2 linked regions of the Daphnia pulex genome follow. The protein of the gene in region 2 purifies or fractionates together with the protein of the main gene of each other region. This does not show direct contact. Links are inferred from orthologs where the notes say so. Each region holds a gene or a part of one and is shown on either strand. Other genes may lie near its edges.

What was found.
Region 1: the proteins of sarcolemmal membrane-associated protein-like (region 2) and FGFR1 oncogene partner 2 homolog purify together in Drosophila melanogaster (affinity purification with western blotting; 3 studies listed by BioGRID, with this or other methods). This does not show direct contact. The link is inferred for Daphnia pulex from reciprocal best matches to the Drosophila melanogaster genes Slmap and Fgop2.

Annotation. Positions count from the first base shown.
Region 1 is NC_060024.1:10,463,135-10,472,573, forward strand, and holds FGFR1 oncogene partner 2 homolog, read right to left. Parts: upstream 4,444-9,439; 5' UTR 4,343-4,443; coding exon 4,329-4,342; exon of another isoform or gene 4,194-4,328; intron 4,034-4,193; coding exon 3,880-4,033; intron 3,813-3,879; coding exon 3,561-3,812; intron 3,482-3,560; coding exon 3,356-3,481; intron 3,279-3,355; coding exon 3,162-3,278; 3' UTR 2,862-3,161; downstream 1-2,861. Other genes in the region: proteasome activator complex subunit 4-like, read right to left, coding at 1-20; chymotrypsinogen A-like, read right to left, coding at 423-442, 516-552, 613-893, 969-1,146, 1,222-1,446, 1,535-1,703, 1,796-1,989, 2,077-2,286; protein inturned-like, read right to left, coding at 5,237-5,348, 5,449-5,606, 5,706-5,874, 6,047-6,208, 6,292-6,387, 6,456-6,505, 6,586-6,768, 6,889-6,951 and 5 more.
Region 2 is NC_060020.1:2,409,092-2,419,010, forward strand, and holds the end of sarcolemmal membrane-associated protein-like, read right to left. Parts: 5' UTR 9,681-9,919; coding exon 9,519-9,680; intron 9,454-9,518; coding exon 9,316-9,453; intron 9,249-9,315; coding exon 9,101-9,248; intron 9,034-9,100; coding exon 8,967-9,033; intron 8,901-8,966; coding exon 8,819-8,900; intron 8,718-8,818; coding exon 8,550-8,717; intron 8,481-8,549; coding exon 8,338-8,480; intron 8,273-8,337; coding exon 8,038-8,272; intron 7,978-8,037; coding exon 7,756-7,977; intron 7,695-7,755; coding exon 7,628-7,694; intron 7,318-7,627; coding exon of another isoform or gene 7,252-7,317; intron 7,037-7,251; coding exon 6,556-7,036; intron 6,488-6,555; coding exon 6,262-6,487; intron 6,186-6,261; coding exon 6,048-6,185; intron 5,868-6,047; coding exon of another isoform or gene 5,790-5,867; exon of another isoform or gene 5,099-5,789; coding exon 4,997-5,098; 3' UTR 3,897-4,996; downstream 1-3,896. Other genes in the region: filamin-A-like, read right to left, coding at 175-637.

The sequences.
Region 1 (9,439 bases), on a different chromosome or scaffold from region 2:
GATTCGACCTCCATTTCCATGACTGAATATAATCACTGACTGACTCACACAGCTCTTTCTAGGCAAAACTGAATGACTTACTCTGTTGAAAATTTGCAATTCACTCTTTCAGTGGTTCCTAGCAGACGAAAAAGGAAAAACTTACCACCTATCAAAATTCGGCCATAGCAACGTCTCTCTTATTGGTTAAAAGGTTTCGTTTGGTTGCCATACCTTAAAATCGTCTGTTTCATTATATAATGACTCGAGAATTTATTCTTCAACTGGATGAAACTTAAACCACGTTTATCGTCGAAAGAAATAATGCGTTTATTATAGTCACGGATAAAATTCAACATTTTGCAAGCAAATAAGGTAGGAATAATAATAGTTTTAGTGCTTTCCTATGCTCCGTGCATGCGCTATCATGCGCTATGGTCTTATTACACCGAACAAATAGTCCCTATATGACAATTAACAAACAAAAATCGTTAGTTTGAGGGATAATTACTTTGGACTATTTGGATACAGGATACCTGTGTTTTGTTGAATCCATGATAGGTAATTAGTAACCTAGCACACAAAAAGAGCAATCAGTATTAAATCTTGAGAGAAATAAGTTCGAATAATTACTTTCGTATAGACGCCAGGTGTATTGAGTTTTGCACAACCGATCCCAAAGCTGGTGATTCCAACGATGTACCCTAGACCTGTTTGAGGATCAATCCAATTCAACGGACCTCCGGAATCTCCTTGACAAGCATCTTTATTCTCGGCATAAGTGCAGAACATGTTCTCAGTAATCTTGGATCCAACAATCGAATTGAGCCGACAGTTTTCAGTCGAAATAATTGGCAGCGCAACTTCTAATAAATTCGGCGAAGCTGTTCCACCAAAGCTCGTTGTTCCCCACCCTGGATGGATTACACAGACATAAGATTATAGAAAATGCATTAGAAAAAGTTTGGTATGTTTGTTTTTTAAATCACCGGTAACAGTTCCGATTTGTTTGTCGAAATTGTAATTAACAAAACGAGTCGGTAGGCAGACGGGTCGAACGGCTGCAGTGAGACTAACAGGCGAATCAAGTTTAAGCAGAGCGATATCATGGTTGACGGTCGTTCGATTAAAATTCGGATGTTGAACAATTTGACTCACTCTGCGGACCTATATTGGACGACGTAGAAAAAATCAATTGAGAAAAAGGATTAACAAATAAAACAATTGATAGAGAAAAGGGACCTGTGAGGTTGACGACAAGCTTTTCGTGTCGTATTGTCCCACAACGACTCCAATATTGGCTGCAATTCGATTGTGAGTGCAGTGAGCGGCCGTGAGAACCCAATTTGGCGAGATCAAAGTCGCCCCGCAATATTGGTTGCCTCCGCCAGACGGACTGATATCAGCCAATAAAGTCTGCCAGGGCCATTCGGTTACTCCAGCACTTTGACCCCCAACTACGCGGTTCTACATAAGCGAGCGAACCGTGAATAAATCTCCGTGAAATCGAAAGTACGTACAAAAAAAGTGACTTTATCAAAGAATTAAATTATACCTGTCCCTTGATTCCGCATTGACAATTCGGAGTAGGCGCAAGGGTAGAAGTAGTGGGCGGAGCTTGAGCCTGGGCGACACAAGAGAAACCACCGCCATTCGTGTAATAGGACGAATGAAATGCGATCGCGATAGAATTTGCCTTTGACGTCACTTGTAACCTCCCACTCCTGCATAAACGCGCGTCGTATATGTATACGTAATTGTTCATTAAAGAATCACAGTCTATTTTAAATAGCTAGGTAAATTAAATGAATTATACCCGCATATGGGGTTGGCAGCATCTCTGAATGCCGTGTCTCCACTGGGCGAAAACAGGAGATAGTCTCCGGTACAGGAAATGGATAGCGGGTCGCAAATGAGCGTGAATTGAGCGTCAGTCGATGTAGTCAATGTCCATAAACAATCAGCCCCTCCGCTGTACAAATTGGGATAATTCGGAGATGCAAAACGTCCCTTGAAAACGCGAAAGATTCCAACATCAATTTCACTTGAATCTCCAACTGGAATAAGCAGAAATGTATGCAACAATAATCTAGTTACCTGATATCCTTTGGAGACGTACACAGTCGTAGTTGTACCACATGTGTATTGACGTAACTGCGCTGACGAATTATTGTCGCTGATGCTCAGAACAGTCTGGTTGATATGCAAAGCGGGTCTCAGCTCGCCCAGACAACCTGACAGCAGGGCAATCACCCAAACAGAGGAGAACAGACGGGACGAGGCGGTGTGCATGAATAAAACGTTCATGTTGTAATGAACTGCCAATCTAAATCCGGCTCCTATAAATATGTATGACTCCCGAGTGATGCGGTGGATAGGGTTGCCGTTAATAACAGGACATTAATATTGACTCAAGTGCCGCGGTGAAGACGTCACTAGTTACGCGGTTTCACGCAACATTTGAAAACTGTTTGCATTTGCAAAATACTTTTCTGTTGCGGGTGATTGTCTTCTTCGGCGCACAAACCACAACGCAACGAGGACACTGTCGATCTGAATAAATAGAACTTTCCACATAAACTGAAACACGTATACATTTTCGCGCTCTCGGGTTGAGAGTAATTTTGTTTTGTCCGTTTTTACCTGTAGTAATAAAAGAAAACTTTGACCTGGATTGGTTTGTGTACACAAATTTGGTAAAACTTGGTCCAGTTGTATACCATTCTCAAGGTCTTTCGAGTATTTAAACTATATACCACAATTTTAAACAACATATTAGTCGGGGGAGCATACCTGGACTTTGCGGGTTGGTGACCTTCGGAGGGTTGAAAAAGGTTTTAAATGTGAGGATTGAAGATGAGTACGCTGGCAGGAGAGTCAACGACATGAAACACGAGTTTATTGCAATCAACCTATAGCCAAGCAACATCTAGTTATTTCTTTAGAACACAAAAAAAAAATTTATGGAGTTATTTGAAACTTTAATTAATACACGGGATAAAAGTGAAACATCGTGCAAGGAAAGCGTAGAGGACAAAGTATAGAGGAGAAGTATCATGTGACGAAGAATCTTCAGATTTTAAGGTATAGATAATTAATTATATATTGCGAACGTAATTAACGAATCTATCGTATGTTTGTTTTTTTGTAACGCTATTTGATTTTCCTTTGTTTTTCGGAGATCAAGGGTTCAAACAAGAAACATCGGCTTGGATCTCTTTATCCTCGCTTTTAATACCCAGAAGAGAGTTTCTCAATGACCCGTTATGACTTGCTATGTCCAAAAGCTCTTTCAGTCCCTGCATAAGAATGATGAAAATTATTGAAATTTACACGTTAAAATTTAAAAGACGTTCCGAACAGCTCTTCTGGTTACCCGATTTTCAGTTGTCAATTTTGAAAACAGTTCAATTTCCTTTTGTACATAACTGTCATCCAACTTTATAGCTGTCTCCATGACCCCAATCATGTCATTGATTTTCTCTGCCTGTTCTTCAGCCTTCTGAATAGACCATCACAATAAGGAATTCATTAATCTCATGCCATGTAAGATTATTAATAAATTATTAGGTATTATTTACTCTTGTGTCTGGGAGAAGATGAACCAAGTTCTTTTCTGTGTGACTTGCTTCAAGTAAACGGCTTATTTGTTGTCTGTATTTACTCATTATAAGCTCAAGAGTATTTTGATGCTCTTCAAGAGCTGACTTGAGTTCCTTGTTTTCATTTTCTAAAGCTCTCAATTGTCGGTTTTCTTGCTGAATATTGGCTATGAGATCCAAATGTGGTCTTTGATGAGCAGCTGTGTTCAATTCAACCAATTCTTCTTGGTACTAAAGAAGAAGCAATAATTTGAAAAAAATTACTGCCACAAGCTATCACCAACCCCCAACCGTGTACCTCTTTCATGGCATCCACTTGACAAAACATTGCCTGAGCTTGCGACAGAAGCAAATCTGCAGAGGAGTCGTGGTCTTTCAGGCGTCCAGCTAGTCGTTTGGCATCAGCAAGAATTTGTTGAACAGACACAGACATTTTGTTTGCCTGCTTGGGACTACATGGAAATAGAAAAACAGCAGAACTGGTATGTAAGTGTGAGTTTATTGTAAGTTAAAAAAGTTATGGCATCTGAAGCAGACTATAAACATTGGTGCATCGATCAGTTAATCGAAGAGATAGTTTTCATCGATTTCCATGTCGATTCAACAACTTACAAATCTCATAACTGGGCCCACGCAAACTACGAACGTGTTTGCTTGGTTGTTATCCCGACACCCTTTTCGAGCAAATAACTGATTTTCTTATCACGACAACAAACCGGTGATAAAAGGGACATGATAGAGATTTACCTTTCGTATTTCATTCGATTTATGTTTTACTTTTCATCAACTCGAAATATATCAGCAAACAACAGATTACAATATCTCATGAAAAAATAAATAATCAACATTCGATCGTGGCGACATCTGGCGAGAAAAATTAAAGGTGCGCCCGGGAAAAGGCTTCCCCTGGCCATGGCCTACTTAATGGTTAAGGCCTGTAAACTTGAATCCTGCCCCATGAAGGCGAGAGGATCTGCCAAATTCCCTATCCTTTCCCCGGGCAAGAGCCAATCAGACGAAAAATGGAGGCTACAACTTCGCCATCTGTCGTTCAATACTGCTATCTCGTTAGAATGGTTAGGTAGCTAGATATAATAAATTTTTCTTCGAGTGTTTCATAGCAGTGGTAGCCGTATGGATAGCAATGTCAGCTACCACACCACGGCGCGGCGTTCAATTCTCGGTTGGGAGGTATCTTTTTAATTTGCAGTTTATAACAAAGGTTGTGTTTCACGGAATAATTTATTCGAAAAATTTTGCTGGAATTATGCACATGTCCTTTTTATCCTATTTAGTCGTTTTCCTCAACATCTGCTGTTGAACTTAGTAGGAAAAACGCATTTCGTGGCATCTAACAATTTGTTATTACGCCTTCATTACTTTACAACGAGATTTACATCTTAAAACGCCAGATGGCGAAGTTGTAACCTCCATTTTTCGCCTGATTGGCTCTCACAGGGACAGGGCTAGGGAATTTGGCCACGCCTCTCGCCTTCATGGCAGTGGATACAAGTCTACAGGCCTTAACCATAGAGTAGGCCATGCCCTGGCATACACATTATGCGGATAAAATAAATAACAAGAAACGAGCACACACTATAATAGGAAAACACATTTTTTTGTAGTAATTCGATGAGTATCCAGGAAAATCTATTTTAAAGGACGGCTCCGAATGCTAAATGGAAGGCAAGATCCAAAATATCCTGTGCTACGCCATCTTGGTGGCAAATGAACAGCTCCCGATGAACAGGGGATAGAAACAGCCTCCTAAAATTAAAATCCGACACCCACGCACAAAAAGAAAAAGTAAAAGTTACAATGGGTTAGCTAGATCGATCGATGTGAAGTTGAAAAAGCATCACCGCACCCAGTGACCCAAAAACTGTCGCTCATCGGGGTCGATTTCGTCCCGCTGCCGGGACTGGGAGGAGATTCAGTGACTGTAAAAACAACCGAGACCTCTTGAAGTGCCACTAAACTCTTATCAGACCAAGGGCCACCCCAATCGGGCCTTTGTAAATCCATCTGTAAAAAAATAAAAGTAAAAAAAACGGGGACGAGTTGAAATCAATATTTGTTTTTCATCAAATTCTAGGCACTTGAATTTGTATTGGGTCGACCTACTTTAGCTTTAAGAGTTCGCTGAAATAAATTGTGAATCGTCAGACAAGTTTTCTGAAATTGATCGATAAACCTGGTTCCAGCGTTCAAGATGGTCGGGGCGACGAATACACCTGTACCGAAATCCATCGACAGGTAATTGATCATGGTTGGCCTGAGCCCTGGAGTGATGCTATTAATTGCAATCAAACAAAAAAAAAAAAAAAAAAAAAAACAAAGCGGAAAGTTGGAGGGGGATATGTCAAGGAAAAAAGACAAAAATAATTTTCTCCTGTTAGAAAATCGAGCGAGGTCAAACAGCATTTTATTCGTCTTTATAGTCAAAAGGAATAAATGCTGTGTACCTGCTGAGCTTCCAACTGGGCGTCGCTGAGCGCGATGATATAAAACAACGGAAGTACCTAAAGGTCGGCATTTCCGACTCGGGTGACGAAGATATCGGCGTTGTACATTCAGAAACTTGGCTGAGATTCGTGACCAGGGCCGGATTCTGTGGTCCGTTCAATCTTTAACGATCGCAAAAGGGAATTATTCAATTGTTTTCTTCATTCCAAATTTAATTATAACTTAATTCATTAAAACAAATTACATTTGATTGCAGGTCGTTTCTAGGTCGAGGTACTGCAATTCCTGCAGGAAAAACTGCATTTCTTCAATGAGAAAAGTATCTGGATAATGATCCCACCTGAAAAGTCAATCGAGATTTATCGACGGGCAAACAAGGTAAAAGAACCGTAAAGAAAATCAAATTACGATTGGGTAACGCCTCCCGACTCTAGTAGAGCAACAACGAGAATGTGACCCTAAAAGAAAAGAAAAATAAATCATCATTTCGAGAAATGTAATCTCCGTCTTGACTATCTAATGAGAGAGAGAGCCCCACCGATCCGACGACGACAAGAAAGGATTGATTTCCAGCATCTTCAGACTCTGGGAACACTTGGCGCCAGATAATCAAGCTGCTCAATCGACGGCGATGGCTCATCTCCAAGATCTGGTTCCACTTGAGAAAAGTGCCGATCTCTTCCAGTCGCTTGGCTGCCATTGTCGAAGCCACCAGATAACCCTGCAGTGAAGTAAACACACAACGCTTGAATAATGTTCAACTGTGGGAAGGTAACAAGGACGGACGGACGAAGAAGAAAAAAAAAGGACAAATGAAATTATATCCAATGATCCACCCAACCTGACAATACACGGCCGATCCGGTGATGGTAGCGCATCGTTGAATGCTGATTGACTCTTCATCCTGTGCCCACAAATCACAAATAGTAGAGAAAAAGGTTACACACACTGGGCCAAATAAATGTCTAATAATCTAATACGGTCGATCGACATTGTGAAAGAAAAGGGGAAAAAAGGACAGAAAAGTGAGTCTGTCTTTTTTTCAATCTGACTCGTTATTCTTCTATTCAGAGTATGTGACAAGCGCCATAGATTTGCTATCGAGGAGGGGGGCGAATGTCGTCATATTCTTTTCTGGTTGCACACATTGCTCAGCTCTCTGCCTTCTTACCCAGTCCTCGTAATCGATGGCTTCCATTTGGTTGAGAGTTAACGTCACGTCCAGCTGCACACGGTACACACATTTGGGTTGGAAAGAAAGAAAAAAAGAGAGAGTTGGGGGTGCAATCAATCATCAATTTACGACTGGATGGATAGATGGATCGTTACGTGACTTTCGGGAGGTAGCGGGAGCCATTGGCCGCAGGTGACGAAGTAGTTGGAGAGTCGATTGAATGGCCGGCTCATGTCGTTACTGCCCCCTGGGCTAACGGTCGATGCATTTCCGACGCTCCTAGCGCCGGCTCCTTGCTGGAGCCAATGGAAGAGAGAGTCGACCATGCGACGGATTTCGCCTGCCAGTCGCGGTTCAGTCAATGCCCTTTTTATTTTTAATATAAAAATTCAAAAACAAATGTGAAATCGATCGGCGTCGTCGTTCCAATTGACTCGACAAAATAAAATTTCCAAACAGAAACCTGCGGATGGAGCCATACTGGAAACGGAATAGCGACGCCAGCTGTTTGGCCGTCATCTGCAGCTCGATGCGACTACACCTGGTTAAATAAAGAAATTTTAAAAAGAGAAAAAAAAGGGGGGAATCAATAAAACCGCCGGCTCCTAAATAATAAAAAAAAAAATAGGAATTGACGCCAGAGGCGCTCGAGTGCACATCATTTTAAAAATAAAATGTTAAAAAAAAAAAGAAAAGAAAAATAGAGAGAGAGATTAACCAAATGGAAGGAGCTCCGATGAGGAATAGGACGGATCCTTCGACGATGTAAACGAGATGGACGATCATTCCGTCGAGGATAACAGTCGAACTGCGAAACATCACAAAGAAAATCAAACATTTGATTTAACCAAATAAAAAGAAAGAAAAACATCGAATACAAGAAAAGTTAAAACATTCAAGTCCGGAGGAAATTTAAAAAAACAAAACAAAAAAGGAGCCCCCCCGTGGCATATGGCAGCAGGGCTTTTCCACTTTGGTATGCGGGACATGTTTTTGATGAGCTTCTCCCTTGATCATCGTTTCTCACTACGTGACGAACCCCGGCCAAGAGGAGACAACGACACACACACACAACGTAAGGAGGGAGGTGGGCGCGCCTCCTCACACATCCATATAAACATATTTGACAGTGCCGGTCACGAACTCAGTTTTCTCAAAAGCGCGAAGGATCCTGAGCTCCTTGGGTTCGGCGGGACATGAGAATAATGAATCGACCGTTTCTTTTGTTCCCAAGGAGCCAAAAACAGGAGCCAAAAAAACCTAAACTACCTTCCACTTTTGGGTTGTTTTTGTCTTCTTTCTCCTGGACACGCAATACGCAACTAACATTCATTAGGATCCCCCCCCCCTCTTAATATTGTAAATTGACACGAAACAAAGGAGGGAAGACGCATGAATGTGTGTGTGTGTTGTCTGGGTTGCTCCCCGTTTTCTTGATCACGGCAGCAGCCTGGGGACGACTTACCAAGATGGTGGGGCAGAGCCCGTCAGTTGTGGCATCAAGTGAGCCAGCGTGACGATGGCGCCACGCCATTTGAGCAACGGATCAATCCCGTTGCTCGTGTCTGTACCTCCTCCTCCTCCTCCTCCTCGGTTGGTGTTGCTGCTGCTCTGGTAAAGGATGTCTGCCGTCTCGGCCGAGGCTTCAGTCACATTCTCCTGACTGAGCAAGAAAATGCCGTGAGGAGGCGCAGGAGTCTCGCCGCTGTTACCTCCACTCGGCTCCTGAAACAACAACAAACAACAGCAAATGGCATAAATACTCAAGTGGATCATGTGTTGGAGAGAAACAGCCGCCAGGAGAGAGAAAGAAAGAAAGTAACTAACGAAGTCCATCCGTCGCGTTATACTCGGATATAATAGGAGAGACTTCGCAGAAGGGAAGGAGAAACGAATGCAACCCTATCTACGCTCCTAAGATGACAGCGACAACAAGAAAAAGAAAAAAGGAGGGGGCTCCTGACTCTCCTGGACGATGGAGGGGAGGATCTACATGTCTCATTCCGACACAGTGTACATCCACGTGCGTCATTTCGCAGAAGAAAAAAAAGAAAAAGAAAAACAGACTTTGTTTGCCCGTGTGTTAGGAGCCAGGTTCCTAACGTATCTGAATTGGCCATCGTGTCACGTTGTCGTCGCTGCAAATCTCTCAAGGAGCAGCTCCTTCGACTTTTCCGTTTTTCTTTTTTTTTATTTCCCACCGCCGACGAAATGAAAC
Region 2 (9,919 bases):
ACAGAACAAGAAGAGGCTAATGTACGGAACGAGCGATGACTCGTAACAAAAAATAGCCAACAATACCAAGCAAATGGTCAGTTGGAAACGAGCGGAAAAGAAAGTGGGACGAACAGAAAATCCACAGAAAAATTACGGAATAAAATTTAAAAATAAAAATAAAATGGGACTCACCAATATTGACGATGCGGATGCCTTCGTCATGCTCCAGGAATTTCAGAGCCACGGAAACGTTCTCGAGCTTCTGCGAACGGAAGGTGGGTTTCTTGGTGTGCTTGGGCAATTTCTTGCCGGACAAGACTTCGACGAGGGCGATCAGTTTGAGTCCGTCCGACAGGTCCGTCTCCAAACTGCCAATGAATTTGTCGACGGTTTTCAGGTGCTCGTTGGCCCATCGTGTAAATGTGTTTTGCTGGATGCGCTTCCACTGGGCATCCTCGGCCAGATCTCGTTCCGTTGCCACCATGACTTGATCGTCTTCGGCGCTGCTCTGTTGTTGATTGCCTGCTCCTTCTTGCTGTTGAAGTTGCTGCTGCTGCTGCTGATGCTGCTGTTGTAACTGGCTAATGACGGACGAGACCACCTGCTCGGCCGGGCTGTCGCGGGCCAAACTGACATCTCCTCCCTGTTGACTCATGGTGTAAAGCCTGTAGCTGCCGCTTTGCTCCCGCCCGCCGGGCTATTCAGATAGAGGCCACAAGACCAGAGTCGCACACACACGAACACACCGACCGATGGGTTCGGTCCAATCACGCTTGTCTCTCGGCTTCGCTCCTTTGGCGATTCAATCGCCACCTGTTGAGTCTAATTTCAATCGAATTCAAAAAAAGACCATTAATTGTGCAACATGACGCAATATTACCTAATAGCGGAAGAAATCAAAGGAAACCTTGAACAAACGGACGAAAAAAAATGTCAGGAAATTAGTTTCTAGCTTTTAGAAAAGAGAAATATCTATTTGGGATAAATGATTCATTTCGTTGGAATGGAAACAAAAGAAAATAGGAACAGATTGACGGGCGTGGTTTGGTGGTGGCACGTTTATCCCCCCCCCCCCTCTCTTTCATATTTTTCCGTTTGGTTTCTTTCCCCCCTCCGCTTTAAGGATGGAATGAGAACAGCTGGATCACTTATAAGCTCGCCGCTAAATTTAAAAAAAATTCGTCATTGCCGACGACAGAAACTACAGCACAGAAAATGAATGGGGTATAACAAACGAACGCAATGTTGTAATCCAATCACCACCTGCGGTAAAGCAATTACCTGTCAACTGGTACATACCAAAATAAGAAATGATTAATTTGATTCGTTTCTGAAAGCCCAAAGGAGTAGTAGGTTAAGTTATTTCCTACAGCGAGTTATTATTCTTCCCCAAGACAGCAATTAAGCGCTCGTATCTGGGCTGCTTAATGATGTTATTTTACCGGCAATTTCATTTGGCGAATGCGTTTACAAAAAGGGGGGAAAAAAGTGTAAAACAGTAGTAGGTGGTTTGTACGTCAGCACTCTATCAGATTTGGGTCAGTCGGCAGGATATTGCCGAGATTTCGGCTTTTGTTGCCAATCTTCTTTTCTTCGTTCATTATTACAACAACTTGTCTTCATTTTTCCTTCGCTTTTCATTCCATAAAAGGACTCTGACGAATTGATTGCCCAACATTGCGGAATGAGCCCTAAAGCCGCCTTCTGCCGACATGTTCATCTTCATTCCTCTGCTGACGTGCATACGAGATGCGTGCCCATAGATGGCGCTGGCGGCGCCAAGCGACACCGATTCCGGTACGAGGATCGGCCAGGACCGTATCAACAAACAGCACAAAAGTTGATTGGATTCCACTAACTTGTCACGTCTTGTCATCCGTGTAACTAAGCGCCCTCGTCGTCGTCATTCCATTGACGACGACGCAAACAAACGAGGATCCAATAACGAAATGGAAGAATTTGTCTGTTTTTTAAACACAACAGAAAGGAAGGTGAACAAAAAAAACAATGTTAAAAGATTCTTACGGAATTGACGGTGACGAATCCTTTGTTGGTTTGCTAAGAATATCCGATACGATTGTTTTTTTTGTTTTTCTTTTTCTCCCCCGATCAATCTCCGTTTGTTCTGGGCTTTTACCGACCGGGAACGGCCCGATGCTCTCGAGAGGGGCAGGGGTGCTGCAACTCTCTGGACCAACTGGACCAACACAGACGCAAAACGGCTAATATGGCAAGCGTTTACCCTCACTGCACGGCACGATGAGAGCGAATGCGAGAAAAAGTGGCGTGTGTCTGTGTCGACGTCTGTTGTAGACAGAAGAGAGAGCGAAAGGTTTTTTGGTTTGTAGGTTTTTCGGGGTGGTGGGAGGGCTGCGCCGTCGTTTCTCTTATAATGTAGCCGCTCCGGACTACTCTCTTGCATAGATCCCGTTCGTCTCTACGACGGATTTTTTTAAAAATAGCCCACGCCATCACCGTTTCAGAAATTCTTCGCCATAGCGTGCGCGGGTGGAGGAGGAGGAGGCGGTAGAAGGAGGGGGGGGGGGTCGTCGTCGTCGGTAGGAGTGAAGAGAGACATTCCTCCCACACCGACTGACAACAGCCCCCGAAAAGAACGGCAGAGGTTAGGAAGTGGTACAGCACATAGGAGGCAGTTGGGAAAACAAAAAAGATGAAGAGAAAAATAAAAAGGAGCCGAGGGGAGGTGACCCCACAGTCTACTTATACGGGGATGATTCATTCACGGTTCGAAACGTATATCGCTATGACGTGCAGAGCAACCAAATAAAAGAGAAAAAAAAAAAGACACATACCTTAAAAACTGAGAACTGTTGACAAAATCGTTAACTCCGATTCGGAAAGACCTTAAATGGGCCAGGGAATTCGACGTCTGAACACGTCGTTCGAAATTGCCCTCCTCCGCACACGCACAACTTTAATCCAACTACACCGACAGACAAAAATGTCGCGGCCGCTTCCAGTTGTTCCGTTACGTCTCACCCGCTCCTCACAATCGACTGCGACAACAGCGATAGACGACGACGGCCTCCATCGCTGGCCGTCCCGAAGGCTGTAAGGCATTTTCAGCGTTCGGTTCAGCGGACCACGATGATGTACTCTCTCCGCACCTTTTCTTCTCCCCTTTCTGAAACAATAATACATTATTTACGATGTTGGAACTCGACTTTTTCAAAAAAGGATTTCCTTCTTTTTTTTTCCATCAAAGAAAAGCTACGCTTCTATTCTACACAGACACTCAACGTCTCACTCTGCACGCGTGCGTTATTCTTTTTTTTTTTTTGTTCCCCGCGTTCTCCTCTCTCCTCCGCCGGAACGGTCGATCCTTATATAGACGCGTCGAGGGAAAAAATCTCTTTTTGCCCGCGCTCGATGTTCAAATAGGTGAAAAAAGTACTTACACTCAACACGCTCAACGACGCACCACACACACACACACACACAGAACCAACGGCAACAGCATAGCCGAGCGCACGGCGGGATTTCATTTCCAGCCGTGCACGATTGTCCAGCTGGCTCTCGGCTGGTCATCATTCCACATCAAGTTTGACCAAAAAGGAAGGCAAAGAAAATCTTGGATCGTAACAAAAAACGATGAATAATAAAATAACGGAATTTCATACGAATCGTGCTGTGCGCTATACTCTTCAGTGTCGAGTGGAAAGTTACGAAAACGTCGGGGATATAACCGCAACTCGCTTTCGCTGCCACCTTGAACTACAACACGAAGAAACAGCATATCATCTATACTTACTTGCATGAGAGAAGAAAATGTACATAAAAGTCGTTCCGATCCGCTTCACGAAAACAGAACCGATACGATTGTCTTCAGATAATCTTTCGGTTCCGCAGCGCGATGAGCATCAATACTCGGTCATAGATCCAGACCAAGAAAGAAAAAAACAAAGTATTGTATTGTCTTGTTAGTTTCTTTTCATTTTCTCTTCTTTCTTTTTTTTTTTGTTGCTGATGTTTAATGGGGCGAGTTAAATAACAGGACACGGGGCAGGGGCAGGTGGGATAGTAAAGAGAGAAAATGGGGAGTGTGTACAATATCCGTAGAAGAGGACTAGACTACAAAACATAGAACATGTTTGTTGTTGGTTGAAATTTTTCATAAACTCCTTAAGATCCGAGGCCTCCCAGCGATGGTTATCCATCTCGCCGGACGGTTATCCGCCAAAGACCTTAAGGAGGAAACGTGACACAAAACTGGGGAGCAGAACGAGTAAATCAATGACCCATCAAATCAATATTATGTGATCCACTCTTACTCTTTCAAGTCGAAGACGCGCGAAGCTGAAAATAATGTCGTTGGCTGGTGAGAAAAATATTAAACTTTCCCTCACACACAAGAGAAAGATGTCGACGATAATGAGCTGGTGGATAGACAGAGGTAGGACGGACAGCAAAAGAAAAAAAAAAAAAGGAAGAAAAATCATTGAGGGGAGCCTATTATTGCACGCCAACTATGCCGTAAAACTAAGCATTTGAAAAACAAAGAGGAACAACATTCTTCGGAGGGGTGTGTGTTTTGTGTGACAGTAGAAAATCATGGAGAGAGAGAGAGATAGCAAAGGAAAAAATAACTCTGCACAGGTCCTGTTAGAAGGTGGAGGAAAGAGGATTCGACTCTCCCCCTCCCCACCGACGTTGTACGTTTTACATACACACACAGAAAGGAGACTAAGCCATTTTCTGTAGCGTTGACGGAAAACACACACTAGTTAATGACATCACTCTTTTGTCATATTGATGGCACTTGGTAAAATTAAAAAGCTGCTGTCGCTAGCAAATATGTTTCAAAAGAAAACACGAAAAAAGGGATATTATCTGCATATCCCGCCATTTGCGTAGATAGAAGTAATTGAAAAAAAAAAAGCTTACAATCGGTAGAAGAACAGGAAAAAAACAATTGATGATGATGATGATGTTTTTGTTGTTGCTGTTATTGTCTCTCTCCTTATTTTTCTTCCGTGTTGTCCGGCAAAATCTCTCAGGGCTCGAATGTAGCCGTCAGCCGCGAGAAGAAGCGGTAGAAGGCCAGGAAGAACGAGATGAACAATACGAGCAAGGGCATGAGACACAACGCCGTCGCCTACAGAAAACGCGCAGACAAACACGAAAAAAAAACAAGAGGCACAGCAAAAAAAAAAACAAAAAAAAACAAACAAACAGAGAAAAAGAGAAAGGAAAATAATCGATGGATCAGCTTTTTTTTGTTCTCTAATGTCCACCGTTAGCATAAATTTCTTACGTCAATGCGGTGTTAGTTTAAGACGAGAAAAAAAAATGAAAGTTAAAGAATAAAGTAAATCGAAGCAAACATACAGAGCGAAAAATGTTTTGTTGTTTTTGTTTGCGTTGTTTTTTGGCCACGGATATTGAACTAACAAAAACAATAAATTCATCTCTAAAATAAATTTTGAAGGCACATAAACACAAGTCGACGAACGAGAGAAAAGAAAGCCAATAATAAGAAGGTAACAAATACAGCTGAAGAAAAAAAATGTGAGAAAACAGAACCTAAGCGAGAGAGAAAAGGAGAATCCAAAATCAAGCAGACTATCGAAGAATTCAAATAGCTTCTTATTTGTTTTGTGTTCAAATCCTTTTCTTATTCCCTCTTCGTTCAGTTTCACGTGAGGAAAAAACAAGAGTTGACGGACTCTCAGCTGACAAAAAGAATATGTCTTTTAGAAGGCACACACATTTAGTTTTCTAAAGGAAGACAAAGGATGAAATAGAATTGGTGCTTCCCCTTTTCTGTCTTTTAATTTATCGTTATTTCAATCCGATGGCCTGAAAGCTATGAGGACCGCCAAGACAAGGACGGCCAACGGGACTACATACATCCAGCGGCCAACCTAGAAAATGCATTCGGCATTCAAAAGAAAAGAAAAATAAAGAGAACAGAAAAGAAAAAAGAAGAATGGATGGATAGAATTATCAACGAACCAAAGAATAATGAAGAAAACTTACAAATTAAAATTGTGCATAAAACAGTGAAAGAAGATTTGGAAGAAACGGAGACTGACTGGACTTACCGTTTTTGACTGAGAAGATAGTAACGAGTAGTTGTCCTTTAACTGGGAGAATTCTTCTTCTAGCTCCTTCTTTTCCGTTTGTACATTATCGTAGTGGCGCCGTAAAGCTTCGAGTTCGTTTCGTACCTCAGACAATTGCTTAAAATAACAAAAACAAAAAAACATAAATTAAAAACTGTGCCTCAAGAAATTTTCAAATAAAATTTCGTTTTACCTGCATGGTAACATATTCTTCCGAATTAGCATCTTCTCCGGAATTAAGTTCCCGGATGCCAGAATCTCTCATTTCAGGATCACGGGAACTCGGTGGATTACTGATTGGACTGCTAAATCCGCTAACCACTCCACTGTCCCGATTCTCTACGCTGAGAGCTAGCGACTGGTAGGCTTGTTGCCATTTCTGGCGTTCCTCAATTTGCTCTATCCTCGACACTTCCATCCTAAAAATAAATAAATAAAAAAGGTTAAATAGAAAATTAATTATGGATAGAAAATGTTTTCTTGTTACTCTTTCAACTGGATGGTGAGGATAGCAACTTCGTCCCTGAGATATTCCAATTCTGAGGTTGAGCCTCTATGAGCGGTGGTTTCACTGACACGATTGGCTTTCTCTTCCTTTTCGTAATTACTTAGTCGTACTGAAATATCGTTGTTGCAAATGAAGTATTTGGCATAAAAAAGTGATAAAAAAACTCCTTGCTTACAGGTCAATAGCGAAATAAGATCCTTATTCTTCGCATTAGCTTCTCGAAGTTCTTGGTACTCATTATTGAGTGAAACGATACTGGAACGGACGAGCTCAGCGAGCTCAGATGGTTCATCAGCGGATTCCTCTTCCTGCTCAGATGAGCCTTTGAGAACGTTGTGCAGGTTTCTAAAGTATTGCTGTAGATGTGCGGCTGTAGACCAACCATCTTGTGCCTCTAGCTGCCGTCTCTCCACTTCTGACTCAAGTACACGGCACTTGGCGCGCGTTTCTTCCAAAAGCTCTGCACCAATCCAAACAAAGGAATAACTTAGCCATCATCCATTTTCGTAGCGAACAGCTAATGTAAAGCTCGACGCGATCAATTTAGCAGAGTAGAAAAAAGAGACAGCAAATGTTCCATGTCAGCCAAAGAAAGAGAAAAAAACAAAATGGGCAAGCAGCAAAAAACGCAATGAAAAGCTGGAGTAGAGCCAAGAAAGAGTTAGTACAATTCACCTTGTAAAATTAAACTACAACATGCCAACTGATTGCGGTAAAGATAACAATCCCACGTGCATGAACCTACACACATCAATTAACAAAAAAACGTCAAGTATCCGAACAAGTCGGAAGCGATGATTGGCAGCAATGTTACGCTCACTAGGGGGTTTAATGGATTAATTTTTTTTGGGCGGAAAAGAGAAAAAAACCGAGTCAGAGAAAGGGCAAGACATTATAACACAAGGAATCACAAAAAGTAATGATGAAGCCAAACAAAAAGGCTCAATAAACAACCAGAAGTCCAATACCACATTGAAAATTTCTCTAAAGATTCTAGATTCTCTTAAGTAATTCTACATTCTTTCAAGATAAAGTAACACATAACTCATACCTTGTAGGCGATCCACTTCTTTTGACTTGTATCCAATAGGATCTGGGACAAAGTCTCCATTTAGATTCTAAGGAAAAACAAAAAACCTGTGAGTATTCATTAAAGATGTTTCAGTGATATTGATTTACCTTTGCATGGGAAGTTTTAAGTTGCGACTCGAGCTGGATCACCCTTTGTCTCAATGTTTCCGTCTGGTTTTCTTTGACGTTGCTCTTATCTTCCACTTCATCCCCACTTATTTCGTTCTCATCCTTCTTCAATTCTTCTGTTGCTTTCATTGAATCGAGACGTAGTCTGAGATTGGCGAGCTGCTCTTTGGTGAAATCGATTTCCGCTTGTCTACTTTCCACCTGTTTTACAGATAACGACTTTCAAATAAAAACTTGAAATGAAATGAATGAAAAATCTACCTGAGCTAGAAGAATCGTTTCTTTTTCTTGAGCTTCTCGAAGGGCTTCTTGCCTTGATTGCATCTCCTGCTCATGACGAAGTTGTTGGTTGTCGGCTTCTTGTAACTTTTTCTTGCACGACTGTAACTCTTCCGATTCTTTTTCGAATTTCTCGGCTAATTCTAGTATTTGTTCATTCAGTTTATCGTTCAATTCTTTCATGTTGTCGCGTTCGTCTTCAGCGTTACTCAATGATCTGTCAAGAAAACGCACAATGATTTAATGTATGAAGTTAATTAATCACAATGAAGTGGTATTCACCGTTCAGTTTCCTGTAACTTCTTCAAAGTTTCCATTTTCTCTGTGAGCACTTTCCGTAATGATTCTTTCGAAACATCCTGATAAATGTTTTTCTCGTCATACAACTTACGGATCTCTTCACGTAGTTTGTCTTCGTGAAAGTTCTTTACAAAATATATGCGATAAAGTAAATAAATACAACATTTTTCCATGATCCAATAAAAAATACGTACTTTAGAAGAGACGACCAGCTGATTTTCGAGAGATTCTATTCGAGTCAATAGTCTATCTTCCTCCATCAGCGCCGTCCAGCCCATTTCAGCTGCTTCACGAGTAGCGCTCACAATACGCTGCAACGATCCTAATTTCGTTTCTAATACTTGTTCTCTGATTACTGCTTCCTAGATATTAACAAACATAAACATGAATGAATAACATGGATGAAAAAGTAAAAATAATAAAATAAAACAAATAGTGAAAAAACATTTATAAGATTCCTTACCTGTATCCATTGATTAAGCTGATAGAGATCTTGTTTGCCAAGTTCACAACTGTCTTCCTCTTCTTGAATTCCAGTTGAAGGACTTAAAAAAAATACACACAGTTCATCAGATTCAAGCTATCGTTGAAAATTGTTTTTTTAAATTTACCTGGCTTTGGCTTCTTTGCCATCAGGTAAATATAGCTTTACAGTGGCTACAATACAACCATGAGTAACTATAGCATTCCAAAGAATTATGGATTATGCACCATTCTAGGAATATGTTAAATTCAAGGTAAATACCTTTTCTTGAATTTTCCATAACATCTACTCCAAACTGTACTATATCACCAGAGCACACTTCTCTTGGTGCTGATTCTTCAGATCCTTTACTTAATCTCTGATTGTTCACAAATGTGCCATTACTGCTTTTGGTGTCTTGTAAATAAAACTAAAAATGAAATTAAACATTTATATGCTTTTCGCACCTTATATAGAATACAACACTCTAAAAATACCTTTCCATCTTTGTACCATAGCAAAGCATGGTTCCTAGATAACACTTTACAATCAAATATGGCATTGTTGACAGCAGGCTTCACTCTTGCCACTGAGCGCCCAACTTTCATGGCACTTTCCAGGCTGAGATTTCTCTCCTGCGAACCATAACATATCTTATTACTTTGATCAAAATATGCTTTAGCAGAGGCTTGTGTAGTACCTGGAAAGGGTGTGAATTTGGTCTACAGATGAGTGTTGCTCTTGGAACCATCTTGTTGGATTCCTGTCCCCCATTCTCGGGGGAATCTTTAAGGGTCACATTGTTTTCGTCCAGCGCGGAGAGAGAGACGGATCGGGGTACGTCGAATTCGATCACAACCATCCGACCAGCCTTCGATTAATGACTGTCGAACTCTGTGAAGAGCCGCCCTTCCTCGCGTTTCACTATTTTGAAAATAACATGCAGACTACTTCAAGAGAGAGATTGTGTTACTTGAGTTCACTACTGTTCACTTCAGCCCGAAAACCGTGCTCTGGCTATTGATTAAACTAACAAAATCTATGGAGTTATTCACCAACACTCACTCGACAAGATTTCCCCAAGTATATCCCCAATCATGC